Linked DNA regions of Rattus norvegicus. The main gene of each other region encodes a partner of the protein of the gene in region 2 in a complex. Links are inferred from orthologs where the notes say so. Each region holds a gene or a part of one and is shown on either strand. Other genes may lie near its edges.

What was found. The genes of interacting proteins can lie anywhere in the genome.
Region 1: the proteins of Kif13b (region 2) and Adap1 are in contact, whole or in part, in a crystal structure (PDB 3MDB), measured with the Homo sapiens proteins. The link is inferred for Rattus norvegicus from reciprocal best matches to the Homo sapiens genes KIF13B and ADAP1. Residues at the interface, in NP_056069.2 of Homo sapiens: Val451, Asn452, Leu453, Asn454, Ala455, Asp456, Pro457, Leu463, Arg512, Phe514, Asn516, Gly517, Arg531, Leu533, Asn536, Asn537, Phe539; in NP_006860.2 of Homo sapiens: Trp137, Asn143, Gly144, Gln145, Phe146, Leu147, Pro186, Ala187, Lys188, Ile189, Gly190, His191, Pro192, His193, Tyr211, Glu213.

The regions. Positions count from the first base shown.
Region 1 is NC_086030.1:20,482,936-20,486,737, reverse strand, and holds part of Adap1 (arf-GAP with dual PH domain-containing protein 1), read right to left. Parts: intron 3,421-3,802; coding exon 3,274-3,420; intron 1-3,273. UniProt on the Homo sapiens protein: GTPase-activating protein for the ADP ribosylation factor family. Binds phosphatidylinositol 3,4,5-trisphosphate (PtdInsP3) and inositol 1,3,4,5-tetrakisphosphate (InsP4). Regulates the incorporation of CD63 and CD9 into multivesicular bodies.
Region 2 is NC_086033.1:43,082,839-43,087,100, forward strand, and holds the start of Kif13b (kinesin-like protein KIF13B), read left to right. Parts: upstream 1-1,220; 5' UTR 1,221-1,281; coding exon 1,282-1,336; intron 1,337-4,262. UniProt on the Homo sapiens protein: Involved in reorganization of the cortical cytoskeleton. Regulates axon formation by promoting the formation of extra axons. May be functionally important for the intracellular trafficking of MAGUKs and associated protein complexes.

The DNA of each region.
Region 1 (3,802 bases), on a different chromosome or scaffold from region 2:
CTCCTCTGCAGCCTAGGACACTACCGCTGCCGCACATGTTCCCACTCACAACTGGTCCTACCCACTTCCTCTTTGGTCCCATCCCTCCACCTGCAGAAGAAGTTGGTTGAACCTCTCCATCCTAGTCTCCCCTCTCTCTTGCCCTCCCTGAGTTGTGGGACAGACCTGAAGCCTCCTGTGGCTGATCCCCTTCATGCTGTTTGCAATGGCTCACGCTTACCCCAGCATCAACCCTTACAAACCCTTGGCTCTGAGAATGCAGCTTTCTCCCTACGGGTGACCCAGGGCACTAGGAACTTAGCCTTGAGCCTATCCATTGTTCCCACCTACCCTACCAAGCCCCAGGTTCCTCCCACCGCTCTCCCATCCCAGTTCAGATTGGGTTCTGGGCTAGGATGTTGGTTGAGTCGGTAAGACATGTACTTTGCAAATGTGAGGTATAGAACATATACCCCAGAGCCTGGTGTGGGGGCATGAGTTTGTAATCGCAGCACTGGGGAGGGGGAGACAGGAGGATCCCCTGGGACTTGATACCCAGCCAACTTAGTTTAACCACTTAAATCCAGGCCAGTGGGAAACCTCGTGTCTAAAAAAAAAAAAAATGAAAATTAAAAAAAGTAGAACTAGGCAGATGGCTCGGAAGGTAAGGCGCTGTCTGCAAAAGCATTTAGAACTGAATCTGAATCCCTGGAACCCATGTAAAGCCAGCTGCAGTAGAAACAGACATCTGTAGTCCCAGTGCAAGGGCCTCCCACTGCATGCAGTGTAATCCCACTGGCATGCGCAGTGGTGAGAGACAAAGAGACCCCCATCTCAAATGGGATAGAAGGTGAGGACCGATACCCAAGGTTGTCCCCTGACACCCACATGCAGCAAGTGGCATGTGTGTGCCTGCACTTACACACGCTGTACACATACACACACACAAGGCTGTGAGACCTGGGACTTGACACTCTCCACAGTATTCTAGAACCTGTACCCGGGTGGGATCCCACTTCCTCCTGCCCCAGGGCCTTTGCACACTCCCTGTGCTCTCCGGAACATTATCTTCCCCATCACGTGCCCCCTAGTGGTTTCTATCCCACTGATGTCTGTGCCCTCCCCCAGAGTGCTCAAGGGTGAAGCATGTCACCCTTGTGGCCCACCACAGCTGTTCTTGGAGAGCAGAAGGCATGCTGGGATCCCCACTGTGGAAGAGCTTAGTGTCTTAGAAACAGGAGGTCTCTCATGTCCTCCTAAAAAACACGAAGCTGGGTGTTGGGGATTTAGCTCAGTGGTAGAGCACTTGCCTAGCAAGCGCAAGGCCCTGGGTTCGGTCCCCAGCTCCGAAAAAAAGAAAAAAGAAAAAAAAAAAACAAAACACGAAGTTGGAGGCCTGGGGTGAAATGATTCCTCTCACACCCTGAGCCAGATCTTTCTGGAAACAGCTAACATCGCTTGAGACACCCTCTTCCCCGTTAGACAGCTTCTTCCTGTGTATCCCTGGCTGGCCACTAGGGTGCCCTATAAACTCATAGAGATCTGCCTGCCTCTGCTTCCCCAGCCCTGAAGAGCTAGAATCAAAAACAAGTGCCACTATGTCCCGCCCATGCTTGAGAGATGTTTATTAAAAACCCAAATTCAGGGGACTGGGGAGATGGTTCAGCGGTTAAGAGCACTGACTGCTCTTCCAGAGGTCCTGAGTTCAATTCCCAGCAACCACATGGTGGCTCACAACCATCTGTAATGAGATCTGATGCCCTCTTCTGGTTTGTCTGAAGACAGCTACAGTGTGCTCATAAAAAAAAAAAAAAAATCCAAATCCACAAGACACAGAGAACAGCCATGGGCTGAAAGCTAGCTAGTAGATGAGCTGGCATGAGTGGGTAGGAGCCCTGGGAGAGCAACATGCCAGCTGCACATGAGATGAAATGTATATGTGCCCAACTGGGCCCGTCTAGGTCCCTCGGGGCCTGCAGGTGGCTTCTCTATAATCCCCAGGGCAAGCAGGCTGAGAGCCTGGGTTCCACTAAGAGAACCTTCCTCAACGAGTTAAGTGGTGAGTGATTCAGAAAGACCCCCAGCATGAAGCTTGGGCCACCACCACACAAATGCATGCACGACTGCAAATCCGTGTACCCACACACATGAAAAAAACAAAACAAACACACACACACACACACACACACACACACACACACACACACACACACACACATGTGCCACAAAGGCATGCCAAAAAACTCCAAAGGAATGAAAAAGAAGCGCAAAGGAAGATAAATGAGTTAGAGAAATCTCAGCATAACATCTGCAGGCCAAAGCTTCCAGAAAGAAGAGAGGGAAGAAGTCATTAAGGAAAATAGCCACGGGCCTTGTGGACGGGAGTCACTAGATGAGAAAGCAGAGGTCCAAGCTGGGAAAAGTGCAGTGAGCAAGAGGTCAAATTCCAGGGGGGGGGGGGAGAGGAGGGTAGGAGAAAAAGAGGGGGAGGGAGAAAGGGAGAGAGGAAGAGAGGGAGAGAGAGGGAGAGAGAGAGAGAGAGAGAGAGAGGGAGAGGGAGGGAGAGAGAGAGAGAGAGAGAGAGAGAGAGAGAGAGAGAGAGAGAGAGACGTGTGGGGGGAGTCTCAGACCATTCACCTCCCAGGCACGTCTTCTCAGAAAGCTACTGCAGGGTGTGTTACACAGCAGAAAGCAGCGTAGACTGGATTAAGGCAGGGAAGGAAGAGGTGAGGCCCAAAACAGCCCATCCATGTCCCTAGATGTCCAGACAGTCCTGGAGCTGGGGTGGACACTGGCCCTACAGGCAAACATGTCTGTTTATCCTGAGACCGTGTACTGGATAGAGAGGCTTGGATCCCACTAGTGTCTTATGTAGTCACAGGACACAGACCCTGAACACAACGTGAGTCAAGACATCCTGAGGGCACAGGGGAACAGGAGTGTGGGAGACCATTAAACTTCCCATCAAATGGTGCCCAAACCAGACATGTGGCAACTTCCCAAGGGATCAGCCCAAACTCCAGCTTCCCTGGCCTTTTAGCAACACACACGCCAACACACACACACACACACACACACACACACACACACACACACACACACACTGAAAGTATATAGGCTCTAGTGTTTGCCTGGGCTATCCTTCTGCCCATACAGAGATAGCTGCAGCACAGAGGACTGAATTAGTGCCCCTCCATGGGGTGGACTGCCTCGCCCTCCCCACCAACAGTGGTGCCTACCAAGACCCCCAGGATCCTAGCTACTGTTCACCGTTCCCAGCCCAGCCCAGGTCACCTTGCCATCCTCATGGTAGATAAAGATGTTGCGAGTGCTGTTGTCCTTCAAGTAGGTGACCTGCAGGCCATGGGGGTGGCCGATCTTGGCTGGCTGGAAGGTGGCATTCAGGTGCTCAATCTTCATGACAGCCTTAGGCTCCTTAGCCTGTGAAGGAAGGCTAGTGGGAATCCCGGACAGCACCAGGCTCCAAACAAGGAGGCTAGCAGTACACCTGCTGTGCGAGCTGTGCAGCCTCAGGCAAGTTACTTAACCTTTCTAACCACCCCAGATTCCTGGTCCGTAGTTGAAAGGTAAATTTCTACTTCCTTGGGTGATGGAGACTAAACGACACTTGGTATCTGGGTAAAAACTTCCCCTGATCTGCAACCCTTCGTGTTCTTAGTCCTGTCCTGACGCAATTCTTGCTTGCCTGTGCGTCTGGAGCTTGTGATCCAGGACTGCTCACCAAGACCCCCCGCAATCCTAGCTACGGTTTACTGTTGCCAGACCAGTCCGTCAAGGTCACCTGCAGGCAAGGCAGGTCTCT
Region 2 (4,262 bases):
CCAGAGCCTTGCGCTTGCTAGGCAAGCACTCTACCGCTGAGCTAAATCCCCAACGAGTTGGTTCAGTTTATGGCAATCTTTTTATTTTTTTAAAGATTTATTTATTTTATTTATATGTTAGTACATTGTAGTTCTCTTCAGACACTTCAGAAGAGAGCATCCCATTACAGATGGTTGTGAGCCACCATGTGGTTGCTGGGAATTGAACTTAGGACCTCTGGAAGAGCAGTCAGTGCTCTTAACCGCTGAACCATCTCTCCAGCCCCCAGTTTATGGCAATCTTACTCCTTTAGTTGCTGAGTTCTGGGATTACAGTATGTCCAGTGCCATTCACGTCTGACCTAGTGTTTCTAACATAGTAAGGGTCATTAATGCACCCCCAAATCTGACTTTTGTGTTAGCTAAACAGAACATGTTTGCAGGACAGTCTTGGCACACAAACCGCCAACCAGCAGTCTCTAAGGCTGATAAACAGTATTTATAGGTTGATTTCATTGACTCACACGATAAACATACCAGGGGTTTTCACTGCAGGTTGGGTGACACAGGTTTTGAAATTTGCCTAGTTCTTGTCTCCATTTTACACATTAAAAAAGATGAAATTTGAGCCACCAAATAACTTAACCATGATCACAGGTTGGCAAATGAGTGGGATTTGAGTTAAGTTTGTTTCCATAACCCAACGTTATGACTCAGAGAATGCAGAGGCTGTGGTCAAGGTTGAATGCATCTATTTATCCTGAAGGAAAGGTCAGCAAAGAAACAGAGGGGGACAAGTCAGTCGGAGAAAATCATCCAAGGATCGAACCCAGAGGTTTAAAAAAAAAAAAAAAACAAGAGAAGGTTTTCAGATGAAGGGTCAGCTCTTGTTCACGCTGTGTAGAGCGCTTGCCTGACATTCATAAACCCTAATTTTAATCTCTAGAAAACTCTCCAAAGACAAAAAAAAGGAAGATAGGAAGGAAGAAAGAAAAGAAAGAGGAAGAAGTAAAGTAAGAGAAGGAAAGGAAGGGAGAGGGAAGTGCCTGAACGGCAGCACAGTTATTAAAACGGCGACAGATGACTACAAGTTCCAGAGAGCGACGCGCCTATTTTCCCGCCAGCGCCTCGGCCGGCCTTGTGAGAACTTCAAATCCCGGCATGCCCCGGGGCGCACCGGTCCTCGCCCCTCGTCGGTCCCGCCCCCTTTCCCCACAGCCCCCGCCCGCCGGGTTGGCCTCGGAGAGTTTGTCCGGTGGCCGTGGTAAACGGAGGTGCAGTAAGAACCCCGGCGGCAGCACGATGGGCGACTCCAAAGTGAAAGTGGCGGTACGGGTCCGGCCAATGAACCGACGAGGTGAGAACTTGTCCCGGGCCGGGGGCGACAGGTGCCTGTAGTGGTAGAGCCTTGGCGTCCCGGGGGTCTCGGCGGGCTCCCCTCAGCGCGCGTGCGCCCTCGACGGCGCGGTCGGGCCCTCAGCCCTCCGCCCCGCCAGCTGTCACCGAGCTCGGCAGGCCTGGGGCAGCTCCGGCCTCACAGCCTCCTGTACACGCAGCTCTTAGGGCGGACAGCCCTACTTTTCGATTTTCCACGTTCCATTCCTTGAACCTGCACCTTGTTGCTGTTTGCAGAAAAGGAAGGACGTGCCTTCCTAATTCTTTCTGGTTTATGATTATCGAGAGCTAGCTTTCTTTCTTTCTTTTTTTCTTTTTCTTGAAGTGATAGTCATCTCAACAATAAATAGTCTCGGTGCCAAGATTCTTGGGAAATTGTATCTTTCAGACATGCTCTGAAGTCTGTAGGGAGGGTAGAGAAAGTAGATAAACTCAGGACACGTAAATCATCTCTCCAAGTTGGAAGGACTGAAGCCCAACTTGTGTCCGGAGAGTAGCTGGTTTTTGCCTTTGCAGCTTCACCAGAGGGTGACTGTGTAGGATACTTAAAATGAGGTGATGTGTTTGAAAACACTTTATATACAAGTCTTGTTATTGAGGTGCTGCTGGGCTCCCAGGGGATGGAATTGCAGTTAGTTGATTTAGACTACTGACTAGCTAGAATTGTTTTCTAGGGTTTCTAGTTTGTTTTACTGTGTTTAAAGTCAAGTGTGTAGGAAATAGTTTTTCTGTTTCCCTGCCCTTTGGCGTATATATGGAGGTAAACAGGTGGGACAGTTGACAAAAGATTTTTCTGGTTGGTTGTTCTGTGGGAAAGCTGGTTTCTCTGTTTTCTTGGCGTTGGTTTGCCTACCTGAACGTGCTTAAGTCTATGAGGCATGTTTTTCCCTGAAGACTTAACTTTTTAAGCTCTCAGCTAATTGCCTCCTTGCATCCAGGTTATCACAAAACAGAGTGAGTATCTTAGAAGTCCGAAAGTTTTCAACTCTTCCATTTTCGAGTGTCCAGACATCTTTATTTTGGATCACTTCAAGCTCATTGTGATCATTACTGCGATTAAAAAACAAAAGAGAACAGCCAAGTGAAATCCGACTTATCTGGGACTGATTCGGAAAGGATGGGTTCAGCACATTCTTAAAATTTCCTTTTTGCAAAATACTTGGAAATGTCAGTGCTGAAGGAGGCCTCTAGCCAGCCACCACAGCAGGGCTTGGCACAGATAGTTAGAGCCCAACTCTTCCTTGTTTTCTCTCACTGGGAGGAAGCTACTGCCTTTAATTTGCTATGCTTGTAATTCTTAACAGTGGCTGTTACTATGCTCAGAGTTTCGAGACATTCATTGAATGATTTTAGCTATAGAGTACATGTTAGCTGTTCCTTACATTGAACATTGTCTTCCTTCTTCTCTCCTTCTCTCCTTCCTTTTTTTTTTTTTTGAGACTGGGTCTCCCTACATAGCCCTGGCTGCCCTGGAACTCAGCATGTAGACCAGGCTGGCCTCAAATTCACAGAAATCCACCTGCCTCTGCCCAGATCTTTAGTGCTGGTATTAAAGGCATTCACCACAATGCCTGGCACTTCTTTCTTTCTAAAACAGTGCTAAGGATTGGAACACTGGTCCTCACCTGCATTTTATCCACCGAACCATCTGAGTTCAGCCAGCCAGCCAGGCATCTCCCCAGTCCTGTTTTTCCCCACTTATTTATTTTGAGGTAGTGTCCTCGTGTAGACCAGGGTGGCCTGGAACTTGCAGTCATCTTCCTGCCTCAGCCTCCTGAGTGCATTGCGGGGATGCACCAACCACTGCTGACTGAACTCACTTTAAAATGAATGTTTACAGTTTGGTTCCACTGTTCAGTGACAACTGCCCCCTAGTCTCTTTGCTTCCTCTATCTTGTGTCTCTAGTGTTCATCACAGATCATTTCTTCATCTACAGGTTATTACGAAATTTAATAGCGAGGAACCTTAAAGCTTGTTATTTCTAAGTTGGCATCTTGAATTCCCATGAAAAGGCAGTAACAAAATTGAGCTGCTTTTTGCTGAGTTTGAAAAGAACCCTATTTAAACATTACCTCTTCCGAGGAAAGTGGTATTGTGATAGCATGTGGCTGTCAAGTAGTTGGGTCTAGTTCTGGGTGCTCCTGACTTAGTGTGTGTGTGAGGATTGACATGGTCACTGGGTTGTACTTCCCATCATAGACTCTGTTGTTTGAATGATGTTTGTGTCTTTTGAGGAGTCTGAAGGTTTCCAGAACTCTTCAGTGTAGGGTTCAGTTCTTTGTGTGACTTAGTGGCTGGTTGTGTTTAAGGGGCTTCAGCATTTCTGCTCAACTGTCTGCGGCGGTGGGAACTTAATTGAATATCAAGGGGTAGTTCCTAATTTAATGATAGCTAGAGTTGTAGTGGCTAATTTGTCAAGATAAAGAGAGGGAGGGAGGGAGAAAAGAGAGAGAGAGAGTGAGAGAGAGAGAGAGAGAGAGAGAGTGTGTGTGTGTGTGTGTCTGTGTGTGTGTGTGTCTGTGTGTGTGTGTGTCTGTGTGTCTGTGTCTGTCGGTCTGTAATCTTAGAACTTGGTGGAGGCAGGCAGAAGGATCTCAGTTTGAGGTGAGTCTGGGCTGCGTACATAGTAAAATTTGCTTTTTTTTAGCTAACCAACTAACCTTCCTTCTTCCTGGCCTCTGTTTTTCACCTTTTTTCTTTTGGTGATACTGGAGACTTAACCAGGGCCTTGTATACACTAATGTTTTCATTCTGGTGTTAGGCTCGCATGCATGTGTAATCTTTTTTTTTTTTTTTTTTTTTTTGGTTCTTTTTTTCGGAGCTGGGGACCGAACCCAGGGCCTTGTGCTTCTTAGGCAAGCGCTCTACCACTGAGCTAAATCCCCAG